7 linked regions of the Macaca mulatta genome follow. The main gene of each other region encodes a partner of the protein of the gene in region 2 in a complex. Links are inferred from orthologs where the notes say so. Each region holds a gene or a part of one and is shown on either strand. Other genes may lie near its edges.

Region 1 (3,500 bases), on a different chromosome or scaffold from region 2:
GGCCTTGGTTATTGGGCAATGACAATCACCAGGCATGGTACTGAGTGCTTTGCATAGTTTCTTCTTTAACAGGCTGTACTGGGGCCAGGAGGCTTCCAGTGTGTGTGAGTTGACAGAGCTGGAAACATAGATAAGACCTTATCCTCTCCTGCCTCCCAAGTGGCAGGGCAAGTCACCTCGACCTGGTCCAGCCCTGAGAGTCCAGTGCCGGTGGAGAAGCAGAATGGCCAGGCAGAGATATTATGCACTTGCCTTCATTCTCCCAGGGTACCTAAGGCCTCTCTCATGCTCTCCTGAGCATTTAGTTGCTGTCGAGTGGTGATGGTGATTTTTTTTTTTAAGAAATGTCCTGTTACCACTTGCCATGTGTTTTTTCAGCACTGAGTTCCTTTTGCCATCTGTCTTAGAAAACAAATCCAAAATCTTTCAGATATTTTCTCTAAGCCTCCTGCTTTTTCTCTGTGGTTCCTACTCATCAGCAAATTTAAAATCATTGATTTCACTGACTCTCTGGGTCATTTTGGAAAATTAGAAAGCACAGATGTCTTATTGCTGACTCCTCTGTGCTTCTAGTAAGTCTGCCCTTTCATGTGTAGTTTCCTTGGTCTCTTTTATAGTTTTAATAGGACTTTATATCTTCAAGAAAGCCAGAGTCTGGCTGATGGAGTACATATATTGCCCAGGGCAAGCAATTTCACTTGAAGTATTTTTTGGGTCCTAATTGCGTCTCTTTGTTTAAAATAATAGCTCTGTGCACCCGTCTGTCTCTTCCTCCCCCTCCATAATTTGTCTTGTCAGCCTGGAGTCATAGATAAGTTTACTAGTGACACAAAGCCTATTATCAACAAAGTTGCTTCCGTGGCAGAAAATAAAGGACTGTTTGAAGAGGCAGCAAAGCTGTATGACCTTGCCAAGGTATAGTGTGCCTGCTTCCTTCTTCTGCACTTCACAGGTCTGCCAGCCTTTCGGCATTAAATGTGCAGCCACTTCGACAGTGTCGTTGTTGTAGCACCCTCCCTGTAGAGGCGTTTGCTCTAGTGCTTAGACAGTTAATGGTCCAGTCAGGACAGAATTCCCATTTTACAGCTGTATTTCTTCCCATAAGATTTTTCTGACCAAACAACATATTGAAAGTATGTCCTGCAGGCATTGAACTATTGTCTCACTTGGCAGCAGAATTAGCATCCATCACATTTCCATGGTGAAGCCACTGTTGAAAATGGCATTATGGGCCGGGCGCGGTGGCTCAAGCCTGTAATCCCAGCACTTTGGGAGGCCGAGGCGGGTGGATCACAAGGTCAGGAGATTGAGACCATCCTGGCTAACATGGTGAAACCCCATCTCTACTAAAAAAATACAAAAAACTAGCCGGGTGTGGTGGCGGGCGCCTGTAGTCCCAGCTACTCGGAGGCTGAGGCGGGAGAATGGCGAACCCGGGAGGTGGAGCTTGCAGTGAGCCGAGATCGGGCCACTGCACTCTAGCCTGGGCCACACAGCGAGACTCCGTCTCAAAAAAAAAAAAAAAAAAAAAAAAAAAAAAAAAACAAAAAAGAAAATGGCATTATGCTGACCCTGGCAGCCACAGACACACTGGGGAACAGTAGTATTAGAAGATAAGACCACATCAGTGTGCAGGAAGGAGTGAAAGAAAATAAGACCACAGCTGGGCATTTTGAGATGACTAGAATACATGTTTCTACCTAAGAACAAATGATGACTAAGAACATATGGTAGCTGCTAAGGATTCTATGACCTAAACAAGATTACATTCTCTTCTTTATCAGCTGAGAAAAGTAGACCAAAAAAACAGCTATAGGCCAAGTGCAGGGGCTCACGCCTGTAATCCCAGCACTTTGGGAGGCCAAGGCGGGCACATCACTTGAGGCCAGGAGTTTAAGACTAGCCTGGCCAACATGGCAAAACTTCGTCTCTGCTGAAAATATAAAAATTAGCCAGGCATTGTGGTGCATGCCTGTAATCCCAGCTACTCAGGAGGCTGAGGCACGAGAATCACTTGAACCTGGGAGGCGGTAAAAAATGCTTTGATTGAGGTATAATTAAGATGTAGAAAAATGTGCAATAATTATATGTACAGCTTGACGAATTGTGCATAGGTGTATATCTTTGTAACCACCATCCAGATCAAGATACCAAACATTTCCATCCATCACCCCAGAAAGTTCTCTTTGGTGGGTAGGGGGCATTATATACTTGTTCCTTTTATTGATTATTTTATTGATTGCTTCCTTAATTTTAAAAACGTGAGCAGAATGCTGACAAGGTACTGGAACTGATGAACAAACTGCTGAGCCCTGTCGTCCCCCAGATCAGTGCCCCGCAGTCCAACAAGGAGAGGCTGAAGAACATGGCACTCTCCATTGCTGAACGGTAAGCCAGGAGCTGACTCCATGGGACCCTGAGGGTGCCACTGCCAGTGCCAGGCCACCTTTGCCCACCCAAATGCATGTTCAGCTTTACTAGGTAACAGCAGACAGCTTTCCAAAGTGGTTCTTCTAACTCATCATGCCACCAGCACTGCGTGAGTTCCTTTGTCCCCACATCAGAACTAGCACTTGGTACTATCAAACTTAACATTTTTGCCAAAGAAATGGGTATGAAAGGGCATCTCAGTATTTTAGTCATGCACATGAAGTTTAATTGTAGGCATTATGCTCACCTATATACTGTTGTATACTCTCATCAGCCCTCTCAAAGGCATTCAAGACCAAAGCTAGTGATAGTTGGATGGGGGAGATTCTTAGAGGTGTCGTGGCCAGTGTTTCAGACAACCTGGATCCCCAGTGAGTTAACTGAATTATCAGACTTTTAACTAGTTTAAGTCCCAGGCTGAGGCTAACAACATTACTTTTTGTGCTCTCTATAGATATTGCTAATAAAATGACCCAGAGAAAACTGGGTTTGGAGTGCTTTCCCGGGGTAACACAAAAGAGCATTCTTTGGTAAATGAGATATCTCCACCTAGCAAACAATCCCTAGTGATGGCCGCTCGGCTTTTTGCCCGTCAGGACCTTCTACCTTTCATGAAGATTGGATGCTGAGATGATGGTCAAGGCTGGAGAACCACGCTCCATGTGGAGTACCTGTAGGTGGATTCATACCAAATCCACTATCAGTGCTTGGCTGTTTCAAAATAAACACCATTTTACACTCTTTAATTAACTTCACCCAGAGAGCTCAAGAGGTTTTGATGCTTTTTATGTATTTTTTGTATGTTGAGACAGGGTCTCCCTCTGTCACCTAGGCTGGAGTGGAGTGCAGTGGTGCAGTCATAGCTCACTGTAACCTCGAACTCCTGGGCTCAAGCAATCCTCCCACCTGAGCCTCCTGAGGAGATAGAACTACAGGCACATACCACTACACCTGGCTAATATTTTAATATTTTGTGGAGATGGGGTCTCGCTGTGTGTCCAGTCTGGTCTCTCACTCCTGGCCGGTCTCTGACTCCTGGCCTCAAGCAGTCATTCCGCCCCAGCCTCCCA
Region 2 (3,500 bases):
TCAAGCTCTACAAAAATTCCCCTAAGAACTAAAATTATGGGAGGAGGAAGGGAATATCTTTGCCCAGCAACAAGTACGCCTTTTGTGTTCTTTTATTATTTGGCATGTTAAAAGTTCTGCTGCTTTTATAAAATACAAGTTAGAAATGTTAGAAAAAAACAAATGAGATATGCCGATTTGAAGAAAAACTTTTGATTTTTATATCATGATTCTGAATCCAGCCACCTTATTGAAGACTTTTTTCTAAACTATTCCAATAATCTCTCAGTTCCAATACTTCACACTATGCAGGGCTGGTCACAGTATGCTATCGGCATTAGTCTGACTTACAGAAAATGGAACACGTTGGCTCACTTTCAAGCTGGCTAATGGAAGAATGGTTAAGAGTGTCTACCACAGCCTGGTGTTTCACCATCAAATCTGATTAGACCCTATCATATTTCTGTTGCTTTCCAAATAATATGTAATTTTAGCTTTTATTTTATCTTTATATTTCTAAGTAAATATATGACAGACAAAAAACTGCTCATAGTTATTTGTTGAATTCCATATAAAAGTTAATTTTGAGTGTTTCCAATTTATTATCCAAAAGTATTCATGGATATTCAACTTTTGCACTTTTTGCACATCTAAAAACACCTGTATTTTGCCTCTGTGTTTGTTGTTGTTGTTGGGTTTTCTTGAGACAGAGGCTCGTTCTGTTGCCCAAGCTGGAGTGCAGTGGCCAATCTCAGCTCACTGCAACCTCTGCCTCCCAGGTTCAAGAAATTCTTGTGCTTCAGCCTCCTGACTAGTTGGGATTACAGGTGTGAGCTACGGCACCCGGACTGTCTTTATACTTAAACACATTTGGCTAGTAACAGAATTCTAGGTTCAAGAACATTTTCATTTTGAGGGTACTGTTCTGTTTTTAGCATGTGATGTTGCAAATTAGAAGATGATGCTAATCTGGTATCTTCCTATTTGTGGCAAATAGCTTTTCTCTCTGAAAGCATTTGGGGTTTTAGCTTTGGTGTCCTAAATTTCAGTGATCTTTGCCAATAGGTAATTTCCATTTTTAAGACCAATGTCTTTCTTTAGATCTAGAAAATTTTCTTCTGTCACTTCTTTGATATTCCCCCAAAACTTCTTATCTTCTAGGTCACTCCTGTTCCAGAGGAACTTGTGGATCTAACTTGGATCACTCTTTGTACTTGTGCACTAAGTTCAGGGAAATTCTAGTTCACTAATCTGATGATCAGCTATGTTCTTCCTGCTATTCCGCCCACAGAATGACTTTAATATGATCCACCAACAATGATGCTTTTAACCTTTAAGGTGCTGTGTCATTTTTTTTCCCCCAGGACTTCAGCTTTCAAAATCTCTTGGTTTCTCAGGATTAATTATATTTGTTGTCTATGTTTCTTAATGTCTGATGAGGACTGGTTATCTGTAACTATTTATAAATACCATAGATTATGGTAGAAAATACTTCATAAGCTAAGAATCCTTATTTTCCAGGTAGTAGATACCAATTCTGATTATAAAAGCCCAAACAGAAGAGAAAGACACACATAAATATGCACTATATTGAGCTTTGCATTACTGCCGTATTTCTCAAAATTAGATCCACAGATGACTTCATCAGAATCATGAGGGTTTTAAAGAGTGGTTCAAACTGAAAATCCTAGGTTCCTTCCCAAAGAGTTCTGTATTTCTCAACTACGTTCAGTGCAAACCATTACTTGACTTGCTGCATCTGTAAAGGCAACTTGTAAAAAAAATAATAAAGTTAATACTTACCAGCTGTAGTACTAGTTTGAGCTCCAAAGGCAAAAGTGGCTTTTGCTGGCTGTTCAGATTCCTTCTCAGATGGTTTTGTCATGCTAAAACTAAATGTGGACTTGGAAGAATTCTCATCTTTGGTTTGCTCTGAATTCCCAAAGGAAAACACTGGTTGACACTTTGGCTCTTCATTGTCAGCTTTCTTCCCAAAAACTAGGGAAGTAGAAGTGACAGGCTCTTGCTGTTTCTCTTCTGTCCTTCCCAAAACAAACACTGAGGCAGATGGCAGAGAGGCAGGCTCCACATTGCCAAAAGAGAATCCTCCTTTGGTGGCTGGCATTTCTTCTTTTTTAGCTTCTGATGTCTTACATGTGAAAGGAGCCACTGAAGCACTCTTGGTTTCTATGGTTCCAAAGTTGAAGCTGCTCTTGTTCTCAGAGGTCACTATGGTGTTAGCAGGAGCAGGAGTGGAGTTAATAACACCTGTACCAAAGCTAAAACCTGCAGATGAACATTTGGGCAGTTCCTCTTTCTTTTCTTCCTGTCCAAGATTAGACACCCCAAATTGAAATGGAGTTAAAGAAACTGGGTTGCTTAAACCAGAAGAAAGTCCAAACTTAAAATTATCATTCTTACTATCTTTTTTAACTTCTTCGGGCTTAGATTCAGATGATACTCCAAATTTAAAATCTCCTATTGGTTTAGAAAATTTAAAGCCTTCACTCATGGGGTTTACAGACCCAGAATCAGATGACACACCTATTTTGAATCCTCCCTGATCTCCAAATTTGAAATTTCCAGTGCTTGTTAAAGCCTGAGAAGGCCCAGAAGAGGGTGATGGGACACCAAATTTGAAGGATGAGGAGGCTGCTGAGTTCGAAGATGAGGAAGATGTGTCAAAGCCTGCAAAAATATAAAAGACACCACATAGACAATTAATGTACTGATGCTCTCAAACAAAATATAAACATCTTGAACGCCAAAGAAACATAGGAATAACTTTGAAAGGGTCTACTTTGAAGAGTATTACCAGCAGTCGTAAACATAATTCAAGGTGACCAATATTTATGTGGTATGAGAATTGTATCTCACTCCTCACAACTATCCTGACATGCCACTTTTCATTTATCAGACTGGCTGAGATAAAGTTTGATAAAGTTTATACTGGCAATGAGACTGGAAGTAACAGGCTACACATTGCAGGTGGGTGTATAAATGAGCACAAAACTCACAAGGAGCAATCTGTCACTAGTTACCAAAAATTACAAATGCATATATCCTTTGACAAGCAACTAACTGACCTTACAATAATTCAGAAACAGATATAAACATCTCAGGATAATCTCATTTTATATTAATTTTCAAGAGAGAATGAGTGAACACTGAAGCTGTTCTCAAATACTTCATTTTTAAATGGCCTTACAAAAAGGCGCTTTACCATCACCTTTATTTTTATTTTTTTGGCCTTACCTTTAAACCCAGATTTTGTGCCTGGCTTTGCACTTTCACATGCCAAACATTTGGTAGAGTCAGCCTTATTCTGCACTAGGCACACTTCACAGTCCCAGCTCCCCTCAGGCTTCTTGAACTTTTCCAATCCTAGAGAGCCTCCAGAAGGCAGAGAGATGGGTACAGTGCTGCTACTTGAAGTAGGTACTGAACTTCCTAAAAAAAAAAAAAAAAAAAAAAAAACAGGGAGTGGGGAGGGGCAGAATTCATGAAAATTTTAATTTATA
Region 3 (3,342 bases), on a different chromosome or scaffold from region 2:
CCCACTCTAGCAATAAGAATCAGCATAATAGCAGACCTACTCCATTCTTCTAGAGCTGGGTCAGTCCCTAACTGCAGCAAGAAGCTGAGGAACAGCTGATGAGCAGGCTCTAGAATATTCTTATGCTCGGCACAATGTCCCGTGAACAGAAAGTAAAATGCAAGAAATAGCTACGTCTAGTGACTAAGCAGCTCTTGATTCACCCAATTCACTCTAAGTAATCTGGAAACATAAATAAATAAAAACGTTACTAGCTTTTCAAGGCACAAATAGGTATTTATGGTTCATTAATTTTTAGCAGAAAGTTTACCTTGCAGTCTTCTGCTTTTAAACAAGGTTCTCGAGGCAAATAAGGAATCTTGAGAATCCGTGGGCATGCAATGTAACAAGTAGTACTCCAGATGGCGCCAAAGAATAAATAGGCAGGTCTCTATGATAACTATATCAGAGCTCAGATTAAAGGAACATAATCTCATCAAATATTTTTTACAAACCAGTTTCTGAGGAGGAGAAAAAAGGAGAGACTGCACTCACTTAATGAGGTAGCCACAGCCTCAGTCTGACAGACAGGGTCCCACTGAAGGCTCCTCAAGAGGAAGCAGCAAGCTGTGCTGAGGAAGGAGGTGGGGGTCCTGTGCCAGCAGTCTCATGTCCCTACCTTCTTCCCTGACAGAAAGTGCCCATGTATATTATCAGTATTACCAGCTACTCTAAAAGATAAGAACAAAAAAGTACAATTTGGAAATACATTAGGCATTTACTGGGAAAAAATTAAGTTTATATCTCCTTCCACCTGGTTTTGGTGCCCAAATATTGAGAGAATAAGTGAAGAGTTCCTACATTTCAAGGTCATCACTCAAGTGCATGATTTCATAAAGGATACAAGAACAAAGGGAAAGCAGTTTAGCTCGATTGTTGATCACCTTCACCAAGCGCCGTCTTGCTAGAACATATTTCTGGGCAGTGGAGATTTTATCAACACCAGCAGGCATCACAGACTGACACAACTAGAAGAAACAAACGTGGTTATTAGAATGACATCAACTGGAACAAAATTTTTAATGAAAAACTACTATCAGCAGGTCACCGTGGTAAATGCTGTGAAAACACTCGAATTTAAACATCCTTGCAGATAAAGAGTTTTTTATCTAAGAAGCTAGCAATTTAAAAAAATTAGAGCCAAAGAAGCAAATTCACAAATGAACATTTATCTGCTGCATTTTGAAAAAGTCTGTCCCTGAAACACAGTCAGGGTTGCTGATGAAACCCTGAATTTCCTGTCACATTAAAACAAAGCAAGACAAAACGATAGGTTTTTCAAGCAGTAGCTATAAGAATCCCATGGAGAATTTCTAACAGTTGTCAGGTATCTCCTGCAAAAAATACAAGGTAGACACCTAGAGCATAACTAAAATATGACCCTCAACCAAAGCTCCCATGACCACTTCTCAATGTGGCACACACACGAGCACAATGGTTCCAGCTAATGTTCCAAAGCTGGGTTCCACGGAAGGTGTACTGAAGTGAGGCTGATGGAAGGCCACACACTTCATAATAATGATGCAATTTCTCTTGCAAGTACAAGCATCACTGATTAGCTACACGTTAGAGGAAGGACTGCCAGGCATAAACCCAAAATTTCAGGGGTTCCCTAAACCCAGTCATTGACTCCTGCCTCACCCTGTTCCTGCCAGCTACATGCCTTTGGGTGTGTTATGCAAGTCTGTGCCTCCGTTTCCTCACGAGAAATGAGAATAAAAACAATATCTGCCCAGGTGTTAGGTAGAACATGTAGTTCAGGGCCTGGCATGTTGTAGACACTCAATAAATGTCCCCTGAGATTACCAGAAGAGTGGCAAGAGGGAGTAGGCATGGACTACTCAAAAGAGTAACATGGAAGTTTTTAGAAAGCTTGGTGCAAACCAGGAATGATAAAGTGGTTCAACATCCAGGCGGCCACAGGACACCAGGAAGCTTCAGCACTGCCTTAGGAACTGGCCAAGAGATGCCTTACGTTCAGCTGTGCCAAATGGAAAAGGCAGCAAACTACTTAGTAGCAATCCTGGTCATTCAGCATCTTCAGTTATTAATACAGTAAGTAGAGGGAATGATTCTGGGTCACTGAGAGAAGGCAGTCAAGTCTCATATGCTACCAATTTTGTTTGAAAAATTTGCTAAACAGATATTGAAGATGCTGACGGCACAGAGACATTTACCTAAGTTCTATTAAAAAAAAATCTGCAACAGAAGCCTTTCTCAGCACAGATTTTACAGTATAAATGACCCAAAACTCTTCATTCAAAGGCCAGCTGCCTTTTTATTTTTTTGAACAGGTGCTACACTTCACTGTTTTTCAGTCAAGAGTTTCTATGCTTATAAGGCTGGTGCTATGGCAAAAGAGTCTTCTTCAAATCACACAGAAGAATCATTCCAATTCCTCCAGTCATAATGTATACACCGTCTTTACTCAGTCTGAGACCAGCACCCTGGCCCTAGTAACAGCAATGATTTCTCAAGTCCCCCCAGCTCATTATAAGATTCGTACCTCTTTTATCTCATCTGGGGGAAGCTGGTCTACATTCTGTAGCTTGCTGACACTCTGTCGATGACTGTCATAATAGCTGAAGAAATCATTCGCACTCTGTTTCAGCAGGTAGACAATAATGCCTAAACCAGGCAGGCGCCAGTATGGAACCACTGGAGCTTGGGTATCTAATAGAGGTGATGAGATAAAACAATGTTCCACTTATAAGCATTTCATGTGAATTTCAAATGACCTGTTTTAAAACAAGGCATGCCCCAGAATTTAAGGACATGTAACCTGTCATTAAAACCAACCCAAGATTACTTTTAAATACCATTGATAGTTTAAAGAACAAATGGTTAGGAGCCACTGTAATCAGGTACATACATAAGGCTGGAGATCCTGCAAGAATAAAGAAATCTGACTGATGCACGTTGGCAGAGTCTACCTTTTATTAGGCAGAGAGTTCTTTGAGAACTCTATCAAAGTATAAACCTTACACACACACACACCTCCACATAAAAAACAATATACACAATTTTGGGGTTTCTTAACACCAAGTGAATAATTTCTGCCTTGCCTGATGGCTCTAGTTGTATGGATTCATTTCTGGTCTGCATCCTTCTGGTTACTAAATTGCCAGTTCAAAGTCATTTCTCTTTCAAAGAGACAAGAACACTAACTGAAATATTCAAAAAATATAAATGGATTTAAACTTTAAAAAATCTTTTACCACAACAACTACATTACGGTAGTAAAACAAAGTGATCTGCCTTTTACCTGGCTACTGGCTAATGAAGACACAAAGGAACAGTGGG
Region 4 (4,234 bases), on a different chromosome or scaffold from region 2:
CTAAATAGTACACATTGCCAATAGTTTGGATCGTACTGTTGTGCCAACTGAAAACCCATGCCAATAAAACCCTTCACCCAGAGAGCCAGAGCCCAAGTTCAACTGGGCAAGAATAAAAGTATGGCATAATGGTTAAGTTCTTCCCTCTTGAGCTGAGAAGAACAACTCATGTAAGGAAAAGTACAAAGGACCAAGGAGAAAACCTAGAAAGGCTTCCATTAATCTTCTTGGGAGTCAACCTTCAAACTGACAGCAGTGTTCATTTTAGTATTAGAATGACTTCTTGGGAAGGAAACACAAGAGCATGCCACCACACTCCTCTCTCTACTTTGCAACATAAACCACGGAACTTACCTATTTTATTGGGATCATCTCCGGGTTTATTTTGAATAAGAAGATTTTTAGTAGGAAAAATCTGCAAGCCACTGGCCCCACCAGCAAAGACCAGACCATATTTGTTGGACACAGCAAGCAGACTCGAGCGTTCCTTGGGCAATTCCTCAGGGGAGTCAAAGATTCTCACCTTCTTTAGCGCCCTAAACTGAAAATCCTGTTGTGAAGAATCAAAACAAGATCAATTCAATAAATAAAGAAATTAAAACAAGTTATATTCAGTAGACCCAATTTCAGTACAACAAAAATATATATTACTGAGAACACGGTCTGTCTCAGTTGTCTTTTTTTCTTTTTTGAGACGGAGTCTCGCTTTGTCGCCCAGGCTGGAGTGCAGTGGGCGATCTTGCTTCACTGTAACCTCTGCCTTCCAGGTTCAAGCAATTCTCCTGCCTCAGCCTCCCAAGTAGCTGGGACTACAGACGCCCACCACCATGCCCGGCTAATTTTTGTATTTTTAGTAGAGACAGGGTTTCATTATGTTGGCCAGGCTGGTCTCGAACTCCGGACCTCAAGTCATCCATCCGCCTCAGCCTCCCAAAGTGCAGGCTCACAGGCGTGAGCCACTCCGCTCGGCCTTCAGTGTTTTCTGACATGGAACACTTCACGAATTTGTGTGTCATCCATGTAAAGGGGCCATGCTAGTCTTCTCTGCATGATCCCAATTTTATATGTGCTGCCAAAGGGAGTCTGAGATTACCATCTTCTAAGTCTGTGATTCTATTAATAAACCCTTTTTTTCTTCTACCCCAGTATATCTGAGGAATATGACACAATCCCATTAGGTGGCTCACCACAGGTGGTGATTCTCAAAAAATAATCACTATTCTAGGCCGACACGGTGGCTCACACCTGTAATCCCAGCACTTTGGGAGCCAGAGGAGGGCAGATCACTTGAGGTCAGGAGTTTGTGACCAGCCTGGCCAACATGGTGAAACCCCATCTCTACCAAAGAATATAAAAAATTAGTCAGGCATGGTGGCAGGTGCCTGTAATCCCAGTTACTCGGGAGGCTGAGGCAGGCGAATCGCTTGAGCTGGGGAGGTGGAGGTTGCAGCGAGCCGAGATCATGCCACTGCACTCCAGCCTGGGTGACAGAGCGAGACTATGTCTTAAAAAAAAAAAAAAAAAAGGCCGGGCGCGGTGGCTCAAGCCTGTAATCCCAGCACTTTGGGAGGCCGAGACGGGCGGATCACGAGGTCAGGAGATCGAGACCATCCTGGTTAACACGGTGAAACCCCGTCTCTACTAAAAAATACAAAAAATTAGCCGGGCGCGGTGGTGGGCGCCTGTAGTCCCAGCTACTCGGGAGGCTGAGGCAGGAGAATGGCGTGAACCCGGGAGGCGGAGCTTGCAGTGAGCTGAGATCCGGCCACTGCACTCCAGCCCGGGAGACAGAGCGAGACTCTGTCTCAAAAAAAAAAAAAAAAAAAAAAATCACTATTCTAAACAGGGTATGTATTACTATGCCCTACATGCATGTTAGTGATTTACTGTTCACACAGATGACTAAAATCTTCCTGCATCTTACTTCCTTTCACTATTTAAAACAGATGTAGGCCGTTTGCTGCACCCTCATTCTGTCAGAACACATATAAGAACTATTAAACACACCATCCTGAAGTTATCCCTGGGGGACTCCCACGTTGCCATCACTGGAAACACTTAGCCCTCCCTTTAGGTTCCTGGTTTGAGGCTGATACACCGATATCAAAACAGTCTTCCTAGTCCAGTCAACTAAAGGTTCTGCAGGATGGATGACCTCCCCTGACCCTACGTTAGGCAAGCCCGTACCGCCTTACAGAAATACTGGCAGAGCGAAGGTCTTAAACGATGCTGGCTTTCAGCCCCGCTGTCAAATGTGACTTTAGGGAAATCACTTTCCGAGCCTCGACTTACTCCTCTACGTTAATAACCACTTCGTAGGGCTGCTGCGATGACTACACAGCGACTGGCACACAGTCAACGCTCCATACACAGCAGTTATTGCCACTATTGTGACCGCCACATGAAACTAGCTAGGGTAACTCAAGAGACGTGCACGAGACCAGGATGGGACTGGGAAACTGCATTCGGTGGGGCTATCACGCCAGCGGCGCGGCAGACGCGCAGCTGAGAGCGGTGAACGCGGTAGTCTGTTCAAGCAGGAGACGGGACAGCCGGCACCGCGCTTCGCCTTTCAGCTGGGCTCCAAGGCAACGCCAGGACTAAAGAAGGGAGGGAGGCCCCAGTTAGTCTCTGACCTTCATCTCCCGCTCGGGAATCATGGCATCCATCTCGTCTCCCATCGCGCCGCCCTCGGTGTGTCGAAGCAGCCAACGCTGCCTCCCACGGCCTTGCCCACAGAACCTAGGCCGCTGGACTGCAAACTTCCTTCCCTCAGCGCCAGCGGCGCGCAGTTGATCTCGCATTTCCGGCGCGCGTTGGTGACGTCAAGCTTGGCCGGGGAGGCAGCGGAACCTAAAGAAGCCGCGCGTTCTCCCGGCCGCCGCTCCCCATTGGCCAACTCGTGCTGAATAGGGGCGTGGCCGTGGGGCCCCGGCGCCTGCGCCCTGGATCGTCCTGGTGCCGCTCCCGCCTTCGCAGACAGCGCGGGTTCGCTTAGTGTCAATCTGTCTTCTTGGGTGGCCCACGTCTAAGCGACCTATGCTCCTTGTTCCTCTGACACCTTACAGTTCCTCTTAGATGTAGGTTGGCTATTAGTAGCTTCCGATTCAGATAAGTTAGGAACTTGACAGATGTTTTCGGTGGGCTACTTTAGAGAGAGGCTTTGGGCTATGCAAGGGGAGGAAGGGAGGTTCAGAAAAACGGGGTTGGGGGGTCGCCAGTGTGGAAGGTGGAAGGCTGGAAGGGGAGATTAAAGGGCACGGAAGACCAGCTTTGTTTGCTCCTATCAAGGTGATCATTTCCAGAGCAAGAGCCATATGCATCTCTAGTTGCACGAGTTTGTGCCACGTCCTTTGCAAAAACCTTCAGATGTGGGATCTCATGTAATCTTGAAGACTTCTAGTCATCCTAGGGGTTATTATTTAATTGATGAGGTAGGCCAGGCGCCGGTGGCTCACGCCTATAATCCCAGCACTTGGGAGGCCGAGACAGGAGGATTGCTTGAGCCCAGGAGTTTGAGACCAGCCTGGGCAACATGGCGAGACCCCGTCTCTACAAAAAACAACAAAACAAAACCACAAAAATTAACCAGCAGTGATGGCATGCGCATGTAGTCTCAGCACACTCAGGAGGCTGAGATGGGAGAATTGCTTGAGCCCAGGAGGTCGAGGCTGCAGTAAGCTGTGATTGTACCACTGCACTCCAGCCTGGGTAACAGAGCCACACCCTGCCTCAAAAAATAAAAATGGGCTGGGCGCGGTGGCTCACGCCTGTACGCAGCACTTTGGGAGGTTGAGGTAGGTGGAACACCTGTCAGGAGCTGGAGACCAGCCTGGCCAACATGGTGAAACCCCACCTCTGCTAAAAATACAATTAGCCGGGCGTGGTGGTGGACGCCTGTGGTCCCAGCTACACAGGAGGCTGAGGCAGGAGAATGGCATGAACCCAAGAGGTGGAGGTTGCAGTGAGCTAAGATTGCGCCACTGCACTCCAGCCTGGGTGACAGAGACCGTCTCAGGAAAAAAAAAAAAAAAAAGATATATATATGTATATATACACATCCACATACATAATAATAATTGTTGAGGTAAGGGAAGCACAGGGGAAGTTGAGAAATTTCTCCGGTGGCCCTCAGTCAGAAAGTGGTAGTGACAGGATGAGAACTGAGATTGTCTGGATATAAGGCTGACTGATGATATTACAGTCTTTCGTACAATAAATTTCTGTAGTGAAT
Region 5 (4,292 bases), on a different chromosome or scaffold from region 2:
CCTTAAGAAATTACAAAAATTAAAACTATCAAATAAACACTTACATTCACCTATCCATTAAGGCTATTAAAAATCTCAAAATACTATCTTTCCCACTGTGCTGAAAGTAAGTCCCATTCTACCCTAAACCCAAATCTCTCCTTATACCCTGACAAATAATAATTTACAAATCCCTCTCTACACCTTGACATTCTAGGTCTTAAAGTTGACATTTTTACCTACAAGCATGTGTCAACATCAAACAGCACTGAAGTTGTTTGTACCACAGAAAGTGGATTGAGACTATGTTACTAACAAATACAAATTATAAGATTAAAAGACAACAATCCCACAATCTGAAAACAGTATGAGTCACCAAGAAACAAAAACAAAAACAAAAAAAACAGTGAAAAGAATATGGTAATAGTTTAAATTCCAGTTTGAAATCCTTTAATTATGTCAGTGAAAAATAAGCACCTTCCCTAGGAATGTATTGTTACATTTAAAATGCTATTCGTTTTATCACGTGAAAAAGATTTTCTAAAAACTGTGTTAGGAGTTCTATTCAGTATTATTATAGAATCTAACTATGAATGCTTAAAATGCCTTCATAGTTCCAAAACCAATTTAGTTAAAATAATTACTTAGAAATGTAATGTAAAGCAACTGTCAAAATGCAAATCATTTTAACACAGAAACAAGTATTTTAAAGTATACCATTACCTTTAATTCATGATAATCTATTGCTTCATCTTTGTCTGTATCAAATAGTTCAAAAGCATCTTTAATTTCTTGTTTCTGTTCCTCAGACAGTTCTCTTCTTTTTTTCCTCTTTGTTTTGTCTACTACAAGCTCACTTCTATGAAATGGAAAGAAAAAGCCCTTAGTCCACTTTAATTCTCTTTACTAACAGAAATTAGCCAATAATTATTTTCTAAATTTCAAAAAAGAAAGTACTTTGGAGAAAGACAGGGAAACTTTCCCTTTATGAGTCAATGCCCTGTTTATTCCATAGTCTAAATTGCTATAAATATGAACTTCCCAAAACTAAAGAGTGTTACAGATTATTAAAAGAAATGAGGACCAAACTTTTCCTTTTCCCAGCTTTTTATTTATTCCCACTTTCCCTAACTTTTTATTTATTCAAGAACTGTGAATAAGCAACATTACTTTTATGTCTGAAACTCCAACCAACTCCAACCAAAAAAAAACAAAAACACTCACATTATTCTACAAGAATGTTAAAGAAACCAAAAAATCTCCAAATGAAACCAAAATTCGTAACTGACAATCACCATATATCGGTTTACTTTTGATAGTTCTGATAATTAAGTTCATAAAATTACTACAAAAAATACAACTGGATTAACTTATATTTTGGGACTGTTGGTTCAAAATGTTTTTAGATTACACGTTTCTAACAGTTTGGCAATTTATGTGTCATTTCCTCCACTGATATTAACAAATCACCCAAAATATTAATGAGTCTAAACATATGACAAATATTAGATGTCAAAAAAGTATACAATATTTGTGCTTCATAAGTCTTGTCTCACTTAAGATGTAAACTGGAGGTTAAACTTCTCATAAACTCTGGAAACGCTTAAAGAAAAAAGCAAAAATTACTTTAAAGCCAGAAATGTTTTCCGTAAGAGCTGCCCATCTAAATGTGCTCCAAGTTTTCCAATGGAGCCGCAACACTGGTATAAGAACAAGTTTTGAAACACACAATCTGGTAACACATTAACATGTCAAAACCAGTTGACTGTATTTAAAACACGTATCTAGCTGCATTTGAAAGTCGTTTTGGTCTCTGAACGCTACAAAAAAAAAAAAAAAAAAAAAGGCTAGGAAGTGACCAGTAGATGCAGTATGACAAAGCTGAGGAAGATCTTCCTTTCATGAGACCTGACTTGACACAAACTTGGGTATTCCTGGGGTCAGTCTTTTCCTTCCTGAGACTTTTAGAGGCCAAGTCCAGAACCGACCCACCCCTGACCCCATCCAAGGGTACCATGATTATCCCTTAGCAGAACATGGAACATTTTTAGAGTGTCCTAAGTATATGTATAGTTTTACGGTACAACGTCTACGTAGGGGGAGCGGGTAACAGACAGAGGGTTAGAGGTTAGAACTGAAAGGTAAAGAAATGAAAGAAACAGGAAATCCAAGAGACAGTTTGCCAATTAGTCACTAAAATGGGTTTCTAATTACACCGTAAAGCAGGACCTTGGGAGAATAGCAAAGAGTTTTTTGTTATTTCCAAAATTTATAGGTGGATGATTGCATCAGCAGCAGAGCAGCGGAGGTGGGGCCCTGGCCAGGCATACGAATTGAATGAAGGGATGTTCCGCGGCCTGATCTCTCAGAGCAACAGAGTAGAAGCCTCGCGATATTTCATTCCCTCCCCCTCGCTCGCAACTAAGCCCATTTTTTTGGTAGTCGAAAGCCCTACGCGCTGACAGAAATAACCTCCTTAGTAGAAATGCACTGGAAGTCTCGTTCCCTGCAGGGCACCAGAGCCCAGAGGGTGAGTGATCCAGACAGGCTGCCCTAGGCTCCTTTCCCGCATCCCAAACAGCATCCCCTGCCTCGCCACGGCCCCAAACGGCCTCCCTTCCACACACACCCTCCCTAGGTCCCGCTCCGGGGTGTGGAGAGCACTGCCGCCTCCTTATTACCGACCTCAGAGCTAAACTCATTATCTCTTCGGACAGAGTCGTTCCTCTCAAGAAACGATTTTAACCCCCTACCCAAAGCAGCAAGACTCCCACAACCGTTCAACAGACACGAACGACCTCAGCGGCCTCAGGGACCTCCCACAACATAGACACTTTTGAGCTGGATTGGTTGAAATGTCGCTATGGTTCTGCCCATTATGGCGGAAGCTTTACCAGTTTTATTTTAATTGGGTACGCTTTACGTCAATCAAGAAAAAAAAAAAACCTCTCTCTCCCCGCCCCCCCCCCCCCGCCACCCACCCCGCCCCTCCATTCCTAGGGCCGCTCTCGCCCTTCGGATTGGCCTGATGCCTTTTTCCCCAAATCCTTTGCGGGTCCGGCCTCCGATCCCTGTGTGGTGGTTTGCGTAGTGGGTGCTCCTAGTCTCTCGCGTATTGTCCTGCGGTCTGTGGGCCGACGTTCGAAAACTGGATAGATAACTTGGACGGTGGGAAGGGAAGGGACACGCTGCACGCCACCCTCCGGCTAGAAGGAGGCAGTAGTTGAGGAACAAGGTCTGCGAAGCGTGGCTCTGCTCTGTTCTAAAACTTTGGATGGCTTCAGTACCTGGGGAATGTCTTTAAAATGCAGACTTAAATGCCCCTTTCTCCATTCTAATTTCAGTAGGTATGAATCTGCGTTTGTATTCCTCACAAGCCTTCCAAGTGATTCTGAGGCAGGTGCTGTGACTATACTTGGATTATCACAGGGTTAGATTATCAGGCTATTTATGGTGATGCTGTATCTAAACCGCCCTTCCCTCTCCTTTTCCTCCTTTGAACTGTTTGAAACGGATTTGTTGGCTTCTGTCTCTTATTTTACGGTGCTGTAAATTGTTAATACACGTGAGACTGTATTCACTACCAAACCAAGTCTCCTAAAGCTCACTTGAATGTCTACTTATTCGTCTCCCTTACCAGGTTCAGTTTCTTGAAGGCCATGATTATATCTATTTAACGCTTTTCCTTGTACCTAATAAAATGTCTGGTGCATAGGTGCTCGGTAAATTGAGTGGAATCTTTTGAAAACCCACAAAATACTGAGCTAAACAGCAAATCTCATAAACGGGAATAAAATAGCCTGAGAATGGGAGTTGAAGGCGGAGAATATGTAAACATATGTTTAAGGGATGTATATAAAATTTTAGAGAAGGGAGAGAGCACAAGATGGGCTTCCTAAAGAGGTGGCATAAACGTTAGACCTACAAGGATGGGCTAAATTTGCACAAGTAAAGATAGTATGATAGAACAAGCTAAAAATTAGCTAAGGGATAGCACCCCTAAAAAACAAAAGCGGAACTTTTATTTTGTTCGTATTTTAAATTTTAAAGTACCTTTATAAATCACCTTTGAGTCTAAAAGGAAAGAGAAATTGTAATTACTAGAACATAGTGATATTGAAAAAAACTATATGTTAACATTTTAAGACACAGACCAAACTATAGGAGAACATTATTTTAAATAAGAAAGAATAAAAATAGACCAGGCATTTATTTGAAGATGTTAGAAATGAAGAACAAAATTGTATAATTGAAATTAGGAAGAGGAAATTAGTAAAGTTTGAGAACAACGTTTTAAAAGGAAACTGGTCAAA
Region 6 (4,111 bases), on a different chromosome or scaffold from region 2:
GCCTCAGCCTCCTGAGTGGTTAAGATGAAAGGCACATGCCACCCCGCCTGGCTAATTTTTAAAAATCAGGCCGGACATGGTGGCTCCGCCTGTAATCCCAGCAAGTTGGGAGGCCGAGAATGGGGCACTGCTTGAGTCCGGCAGTCCAAGACCAGCCTGGGCAACCAGGCAAAACCCCATCTCTACAAAAACAAATAGAAAAATCAGCTGGGCATGGTGGCGCATACCTGTAATTGCAGCTACTTGGGAGGCTGAGGTGGGAGGGTCACTTGAACCCAGGAGGCGGAGACTGCAGTGAGCCATGATTGCACCACTGCACTCCAGCCTGGACAATGGAGCCACCAGACTGTCTCTCAAAAAGAAAAGAAAAAAAAACAGAAAGAAAAAAGAAAAAAAATTGTAGAAATGGGGTCTTGAACTCCTGGCCTCAAGAGATCCTCCCACCTCAGCCCCCCAAAGTGCTGGGATTACAGGTGTGAGCCACTGTGCCCAGCCAAAATATTTAACTAAATGAAATTTGTATCTCTAACATAAAGTCTCTCTTTTGAGCCTTAGACCTGTAAATTTCAATGCCTACTTGACATTTCCAAAGGGCTGCTCCCCAGGTACTTCAAATTTACTATGTCCAACAGAATTATTCATATCTTTCCAAAATCCATCTTCTATGGATCTCTGTAAATGGCAACCCCTCCCCACTCACATCTGGTTAGTCACATGAGACACCAGGGAGCTGTCCTTGTTCTCTCCTTTTCTTTTACCATCCCTTACCCCATATTCAATCCACCACCAAGTCCTAGTGAATCTATCTTCCAAAGGTATCTTGAATCCATCTACTTTTCTATTTCTATTCATTCCCACAATTGAACCACCAGCAACCCTTACTTGGGCCATCATAAAAGCAAACTTTTTTTTGCATTATACCCATCTAATCCAAATCCACTTTCCACAAAGTAGACTGAGATCTTCTAAAAATACATTTTAAAAAATTTAGATTCAGGGGTACATGTGCAGCTTTGTTACATGAGTATATTGTGTATATATTCCTATCTACATGAGGTTTGGGCTTCTAATGATCCTGCCGCCCAAGTTGTGAACACAGTAACTGATAGGTTTTCCAACCTCTGCTCCCCCGCTCCTTTTGGAATCCCCAGTGTTAACTGTTCCCATCCAAAAATGCAATTTTGATGTTAGTAACTCTTTAAAAACCTATTCCATTATTACTCAATGTACTTAGGATAAAATCCAAAAATCCTTAAAAATGGCCTAAGGGTCCCTCATGGTCCGAGTCCTGCCTACCTCTCCAGCCTCAGTATCTCACATTACTTTCTGTTTTACCCACTGCACTTAAGCCACACAGATCTTTGGTCAGTTCCAAACCTGCCACATTCTTTCCACTTTGTGACCTTTGCATATGGTGATCCTGCTTGCTGGACTCCTCTCTGTCCACTCCCCATACCTGGCTAACCTCGTGTCCTTTAGATCTCAGGGTAACTGTGAAAGCCTTTTCCTGCCCCACTAATAACATTTGGTCCTCTCATTAGCCTCTCGTAACCCCTGTATTTTTCCTCTAGGGCAAGTTTTCCTCCACAAAATTTCCCCATGAAAAGTGAGTCCACAACTATTCTGACATTGCTACAACGTCTTGCATGATGAAGATGGCAGTTTTGTTCATTTCGTCCTGGTACCTAGCACAATGCCTGACATATTGAAGCTCGAACATATTTGTTCAATGAAGGAAGCTGTAAAGCACTATAAAAACATAATGGGTTCATGTTTAAAACTAGTCTTATGGGCTTTATACCCCTAAGCTACATTCCCTCTGCTTTTGGTGTTGCTTGGTGTGTGTGTGTGTATTGGTGGGGGGGGAGGGTAAACTCTTCTAGAACTGTCTCAGTTTTCCCGACTCTGATACGAACTGAAAAAAAAAAACTTTCTCTTTCCCTAAGTGTCGATTACCGCTTCTAGAATAGCACTTTGGGAACAGCAACTAAAATTTACACACCAAACCCTACCTTCCAGGGGAGTTTGGCGAACCACAGCACTTACCAATGAATGAACCTGTTTCTGGTTACGGAGAACAACTTGCCACTCTCCACATAGTAAAAGCCTCCCGCGCTCTCACTGTATTTTACGGCGCCAGCCACGGCATTTGCGGTCCCTGCAAAATGAACGTGGTCAGCCTGCACACGCGTCTTCTGAGAAATGACAGGGACTAAGGGACCTGATAAAGCAGAGGGTGACAGACTGACAACCCATACAAAGAAAAGAGGAAAACGTCGGACATCAAGGAATCTCTGATCCCGGGGCTGGAGGCATGTGGACTCAGGAGGATGAACCCAGCAGTCAGAGACCCTAGGACCCATGAGAGGAGCCCGAGGGGACAGATCGGATCGCGCCCTCCCTGGCCACTTCCGTACCAATGCTGCAGACTGTGAATTCCCGAAAGTGCCTCGGCCTTTCGCGCTCAGCCCCGCTTAGCTCCACGAAGCTTCGTTCCAGGGATCCCGCCGCCGCCATCTTCCCGCCGTCGCCGCGATGCCCGACGGGACAAAGGCAGGGCCGCGCGGCCGCCGTCACTTCCGGGGGCGGGGCGGGCGGAGCTGCGGACGGGTGAAGCATCCCGGGAGCAGAAAGGGGGCTTCCGTCCTTCGTTGCGGGGCTTCCACCGGGAGAATGAGGATGGGCAGCGGGGAATCCAGAAGAGAAGCGGGCAGGGGAGGCCGACTGTATCTGCTGGAATCTTCGAGTGGCCGGCTGGAACGCCTCCGGAGGGCGGTGCCCTTTTCTCAGCGGCCGCAGGGCAGGGGGCGGGACCGGGTTTGTTTCTGTTTCCAAAACGCGGGGCTCAGTCTCCCAGGAGGGGCGAGGTCCGGGGAGGTCCGGCCTTTGGGCGTCCTCTGCCGGATCCCGGGTGTTTGGTCACCTCTCCCTCGGTTAGGGTGTCCGTCTGTAAATCTTTGCCGATCCTCCCTTCGCTCTTCAGTGGCACTTGGGTTGGCGGGGTGAGGAAGGGGTAGTGAGGGAAGGGCCTTTGGTTTTGGTCTTTTTTCCCCCCAAGAGACTGTATTCGTGTATTCCTGTATAATGAAACGTAATGTGGTAAACCTTGATGCTGCCACCTGCTGAGGTTACCTGAGTGCTACTCACTTGGATACGTGAAAAGAATTTGCCATTCATTCCAACCGTGATCTTGCACTTGGCTGTCAATGCAATAAGGGCCCATAGTGGATGTTTAGAAGATATTGTGGGGGTAGATGTTCAAAATCGGGGAAAATGCTAATCTCCAGCAGGGAAGGTTTTGTTCCTTAGTGATAGCCAACGCTTGTTGGTCACTTCTATTACCAGTGACCACAGCCATTCCCTGTCATTCTCTGTTTCATTTATCTGGTTCCGACCATCATTTCCTATCTTTCCACTTCACTCCCTCTGGGACACCAACTTTGGCAGTGCAGCCCCCTCATTCTACCTGAAATCCATTGTTATACAAGCTCTTCACTGTCCCTCACTTCTTTGGTGTTTCTTCCTTATCCTGAATACCATTAAATTACTTCATTGCCTAACTCTTCATCAGTAAAAACAACTTCGATTACATTCAAATCTGTAGCTGAACGTGCCTGAAGAAAACTATACACCAAGGTCGGGTGTGGTGGCTCACGCCTGTAATCCCAGCACTTTGGGAGTCCAAGACTTGAGGATCACTTGAGGTCAGGAGTTCAAGACCAGCCTGGCCAACATGGTGAAACCCGGCCTCTACGAAAAACAGAAAAATTAGCCGGGCGCAGTGGCTCACGCCTGTAATCCTAGCACTCTGGGAGGCAGAGGTGGGCGGATCACGAGGTAAGGAGTTCCAGACCCGCCTGGCCAACATGGTGAAACAGTGAGATACAAAAAATTAGCTGGGCATGGTAATGCACGCCTGTAATCCCAGCTACTCGGGAGGCTGAGGCAGGAGAATCACTTGAACCCGGGAGGCAGAGGTTGCAGTGAGCCGAGATCGCGCCACTGCACTCCAGCCTGGGTGACAGAGCAAGACTCCGTCTCCAAAAAAAAAAAAAAAAGAAAAATTAGCGGGGGCATGATGATGCGTGCATGTAATCCCAGCTGCTTGGGA
Region 7 (3,500 bases), on a different chromosome or scaffold from region 2:
AGATGAGCAGGTAGAAGCAGTTTTCCATGGTAAACATCAGGAGGGACCTGGGAGGAGAAGCAGGTTTTTGGCACTGCTACAGAGGGCCAGGCTGGCCAAACCTGAGAATAGTGGGCCCATGACTTCCCCAGCCCCTTATCAAATCTCAGAAAGAGCGCTTACTTTAACGTCCTGGTCCCTTCTGCCTGTGTGCTGAGCCCCACTGCCTGGGTGAGGGGCTCCTTTTTCTTGTCCAGCTGAAGAGAAGGAAGGGTAAAAAACTAAGACAACAGGAACAGCTCCCACTTACTGAGAGCTTCCTACTTGCATGCCCTGCACTAAACAAATTTCATCAGTTACCTCATTTAATCCTCACAGTAATTCTCAGAGGTGCTGTCATGTTCAGTTTACGGAGAGGAGCAGTCTCGGGAGGCTAGGTACCATGCCCAAGGTTGGCTGAAAGTGGCGGGCTGGGGGAGGAGCCGGGAGAGAGGACAGTGACAGAACCCACTTACCTCTCCAAGCATGTTGAGGGCCACATTCACTGTAGCCAGAAGGGTCCCAAAGGAGGGGGCCACTTCGGAGTCAAAGGTGGGAGTGGTAAAGCTCAGGGCAAACAGGAAGTTGTATTCAGCAAGGTCCAGGGACTGCAAGAAAAGTCAAGAGCCATCCAGGACCCAGTTAAGGCCCCAGGTAGCTCTCAGTGCACAGCAGAGCAGAGCCTTTAGGGGAGGTGGTGCCGAACAGATGATGGTCGGTACCTGATCCAGCAGGATCTGGCAGACATCTGGGGTGAAGTGGCGCAGGGCTGCCAGCGTCCTGCTGAGGATCTTGAGAAGGCCATACTGGACTGTGTGCAAGGCCCGCTGCTCTGATGCCTCTGTGTCAGCAGCGGGCTGCTTGGAGGAGGAGGGGGCAGCAGAAGCAGCAGACGGTGGCCTCTGGACTCGCTGGGCAACGGCCGAGGGGAGGCCATCCCCATTTTTGTTCTAGGGAGAGTCAAGAAATGAAGGTGGAGCTCGGGAAGCCACAGTGAGGTATTCCAGCCCCTCATGGCATAGGACGCTTACCTGTAAGTAATGCTGCAGCATCTTTCGACTGTGCAGGAGGGAGGTGCATGCCTGGCACAGGTAACCCAGGTTGACCTGGGAGAGACACAGGAGAGATGAGGGATTCTCTTGTCAGCAGCCCAGTCACCCAACTAGCCCAAACCAACAGCCCTCCACGTAACACCCACGCGTTCTCACTCGCTGCTGCTCTTCTCTCCCTCCCTCCCTCATGCTCCCCTGGCCACTTTCCAGCTTTAAAGCCCTTATAGCCACTAAGTACTCAGGGCTACAAACTCGGGGCCAGTAGGGCTCAGGACTGGACTGTTTCACTGGGACCCAGCTAGGTGCCTCGTATATTATAAGGTCCTAAAATAATAGAAGATGAGGCTGGGCATGGTGGCTCAAGCCTGTAATCCCAGCACTTTGGGAGACCGAGGCAGGCGGATCACAAGGTCAGGAGATTGAGACCAGCCTGGCTAACACGGTGAAACCCTGTCTCTACTAAAAAATACAAAAAAATAGCCGGGCACGGTGGCGGGCACCTGTAGTCCCAGCTACTTGGGACGCTGAGGCGGGAGAATGGCGTGAACCCGGGAGGCAGAGCTTGCAATGAGCCGAGATCACGCCACTGCACTCCAGCCTGGGCGACAGAGCAAAACTCTGTCTCTAAATAAATAAATAAATAAATAAATAAATAAAATGAAGATGAGGATTATGGCTGATTCCATTTTATGAGAAAAGAATAAAAGGTTACAAATAACTGAAGTGACTTGGCCAAGCTCATACAACCAGCAGATGAGAGAAGCCTGCCTGGCTCTGGAGCCTGTGTTCTTTCTTCACCTCCAGCTGGTTCCCAGCTCCAGGTGTGTGTGTGTTTTTGGTTTTGTTCAGTGTTTTTTTTCCCCGAGATAGAGTCTTGCTCTGTCGCCAGGCTGGAGTGCAGTGGTGTGACCTCGGCTCACTGCAACCTCCGCCTCCCAGGTGCACGCCATTCTCCTGCCTCAGCCTCCCGAGTAGCTGGGACTACAGGCGTGCGCCACTACACCCAGCTAATTTTTGTATTTTTAGTAGAGATGGGGTTTCACCCTATCGGCCAGGCTGGTCTTGAGCTCCTGACCTTGTGATACGCCCGCTTTGGACTCCCGAAGTGCTGGGATTACCGGCGTGAGCCACTGCGCCCAGCCTTTTTTTTTTTTTTTTTTTTTTTTCCCCGAGATGGGAGTCTCGCTCTGTCGCCCAGGCTGGAGTGTAACGGTTCGATCTTGACTCACTGCAACCACCGCCTCCCAGGTTCAAGCGATTCTCCCACCTCAGCCTCCTGAGTAGCTGGGATTACAGTCACGCACCACCACGCCCAGCTAATTTTTCTATTTTTAATAGAGATGGGGTTTCACCATGTTGGCCAGGCTGGTCTCAAACTCCTGACTGCCTCCCAAAGTGCTAGGATTACAGGCATGAGCCACCACGCCTGGTCCCAGGTGTATTCTTTTTTTTTTTTTTTTTTGATACGGAGTCTCGCTCTGTCGCCCAGACTGGAGTGCAGTGGCGCGATCTCGGCTCACTGCAAGCTCCGCCTCCCGGGTTCACGCCATTCTCCTGCCTCAGCCTCCGGAGTAGCTGGGACTACAGGCGCCCGCCACCACGCCCGGCTAATTTCTTTTTGTATTTTTAGTAGAGACGGGGTTTCACCGTGTTAGCCAGGATGGTCTCGATCTCCTGACCTCGTGATCCGCCCGCCTCGGCCTCCCAAAGTGCTGGGATTACAGGCTTGAGCCACCGCGCCCGGCCCGCAGGTGTATTCTCAAAGGATCTGAACCAATATCTAACTGATAAAGTACAAGTTCTTTTTTTTTTTTTTTTTTTTTTTGAGACGGAGTCTCACGCTGTTGCCCAGGCTGGAGTGCAGTGGCGCCATCTCGGTTCACTGCAAGCTCCGCCTCCCGGGTTCCCGCCATTCTCCTGCCTCAGCCTCCCGAGTAGCTGGGACTACAGGCGCCCGCCACCGCGCCCGGCTAATTTTTTGTATTTTTAGTAGAGACGGGGTTTCACTGTGGTCTCGATCTCCTGACCTTGTGATCCGCCCGCCTCAGCCTCCCAAAGTGCTGGGATTACAGGCTTGAGCCACCGCGCCCGGCAAGTACAAGTTCTTAATCTACATGGCTACCCTTGACTATGAAAGGAAACATTTAGCCAGAGTAAGCACATGACACCAAACCCTGTGTTCCGCAAGGGAAAAGCCCCCGTTCAGGAACATCCTGCAATTCACTAGAGGTGCCCCAGTGAGAGCTCACAGCCTCCCTGTCTCCAAGCATTACTCCAGACTCCAGGACACCATCCGGGGCCCCCACCTGGATATCACGCATGAGCTGAGGCAAGTGGAAGTGCCACTCCTTCATGAAGTTGGAGAGCTGCAGAATAAAACCCACGGTGTGGTCCGCCTCCTCCAGGCAGGCCAGACTCTGCACTGTCCTC

Evidence for each region.
Region 1: NUP153 (region 2) and NUP93 share a complex: the UniProt entries of both Homo sapiens proteins name them as parts of the nuclear pore complex. The link is inferred for Macaca mulatta from reciprocal best matches to the Homo sapiens genes NUP153 and NUP93.
Region 3: NUP153 (region 2) and NUP205 share a complex: the UniProt entries of both Homo sapiens proteins name them as parts of the nuclear pore complex. The link is inferred for Macaca mulatta from reciprocal best matches to the Homo sapiens genes NUP153 and NUP205.
Region 4: NUP153 (region 2) and NUP214 share a complex: the UniProt entries of both Homo sapiens proteins name them as parts of the nuclear pore complex. The link is inferred for Macaca mulatta from reciprocal best matches to the Homo sapiens genes NUP153 and NUP214.
Region 5: NUP153 (region 2) and CETN3 share a complex: the UniProt entries of both Homo sapiens proteins name them as parts of the nuclear pore complex. The link is inferred for Macaca mulatta from reciprocal best matches to the Homo sapiens genes NUP153 and CETN3.
Region 6: NUP153 (region 2) and NUP160 share a complex: the UniProt entries of both Homo sapiens proteins name them as parts of the nuclear pore complex. The link is inferred for Macaca mulatta from reciprocal best matches to the Homo sapiens genes NUP153 and NUP160.
Region 7: NUP153 (region 2) and NUP188 share a complex: the UniProt entries of both Homo sapiens proteins name them as parts of the nuclear pore complex. The link is inferred for Macaca mulatta from reciprocal best matches to the Homo sapiens genes NUP153 and NUP188.

The regions. Positions count from the first base shown.
Region 1 is NC_133425.1:52,438,642-52,442,141, forward strand, and holds part of NUP93 (nuclear pore complex protein Nup93), read left to right. Parts: intron 1-798; coding exon 799-915; intron 916-2,269; coding exon 2,270-2,388; intron 2,389-3,500. UniProt on the Homo sapiens protein: Plays a role in the nuclear pore complex (NPC) assembly and/or maintenance. May anchor nucleoporins, but not NUP153 and TPR, to the NPC. During renal development, regulates podocyte migration and proliferation through SMAD4 signaling.
Region 2 is NC_133409.1:165,434,602-165,438,101, reverse strand, and holds part of NUP153 (nuclear pore complex protein Nup153), read right to left. Parts: intron 3,430-3,500; coding exon 3,235-3,429; intron 2,668-3,234; coding exon 1,783-2,667; intron 1-1,782. UniProt on the Homo sapiens protein: Component of the nuclear pore complex (NPC), a complex required for the trafficking across the nuclear envelope. Functions as a scaffolding element in the nuclear phase of the NPC essential for normal nucleocytoplasmic transport of proteins and mRNAs.
Region 3 is NC_133408.1:175,474,967-175,478,308, reverse strand, and holds part of NUP205 (nuclear pore complex protein Nup205), read right to left. Parts: intron 2,713-3,342; coding exon 2,546-2,712; intron 1,008-2,545; coding exon 884-1,007; intron 440-883; coding exon 311-439; intron 1-310. UniProt on the Homo sapiens protein: Plays a role in the nuclear pore complex (NPC) assembly and/or maintenance. May anchor NUP62 and other nucleoporins, but not NUP153 and TPR, to the NPC.
Region 4 is NC_133420.1:16,423,360-16,427,593, forward strand, and holds the start of NUP214 (nuclear pore complex protein Nup214), read right to left. Parts: upstream 2,801-4,234; 5' UTR 2,682-2,800; coding exon 2,637-2,681; intron 1,084-2,636; exon of another isoform or gene 982-1,083; intron 551-981; coding exon 355-550; intron 1-354. UniProt on the Homo sapiens protein: Part of the nuclear pore complex. Has a critical role in nucleocytoplasmic transport.
Region 5 is NC_133411.1:96,792,236-96,796,527, forward strand, and holds the start of CETN3 (centrin-3), read right to left. Parts: upstream 2,801-4,292; 5' UTR 2,682-2,800; coding exon 2,665-2,681; intron 839-2,664; coding exon 703-838; intron 1-702. UniProt on the Homo sapiens protein: Plays a fundamental role in microtubule-organizing center structure and function. As a component of the TREX-2 complex, involved in the export of mRNAs to the cytoplasm through the nuclear pores.
Region 6 is NC_133419.1:17,735,945-17,740,055, reverse strand, and holds the start of NUP160 (nuclear pore complex protein Nup160), read right to left. Parts: upstream 2,801-4,111; 5' UTR 2,620-2,800; coding exon 2,418-2,619; exon of another isoform or gene 2,159-2,417; coding exon 2,047-2,158; exon of another isoform or gene 474-2,046; intron 1-473. UniProt on the Homo sapiens protein: Functions as a component of the nuclear pore complex (NPC). Involved in poly(A)+ RNA transport.
Region 7 is NC_133420.1:18,641,133-18,644,632, forward strand, and holds part of NUP188 (nucleoporin NUP188), read right to left. Parts: coding exon 3,377-3,500; intron 1,125-3,376; coding exon 1,050-1,124; intron 969-1,049; coding exon 741-968; intron 627-740; coding exon 495-626; intron 237-494; coding exon 163-236; intron 48-162; coding exon 1-47. UniProt on the Homo sapiens protein: Component of the nuclear pore complex (NPC), a complex required for the trafficking across the nuclear envelope. Required for proper protein transport into the nucleus.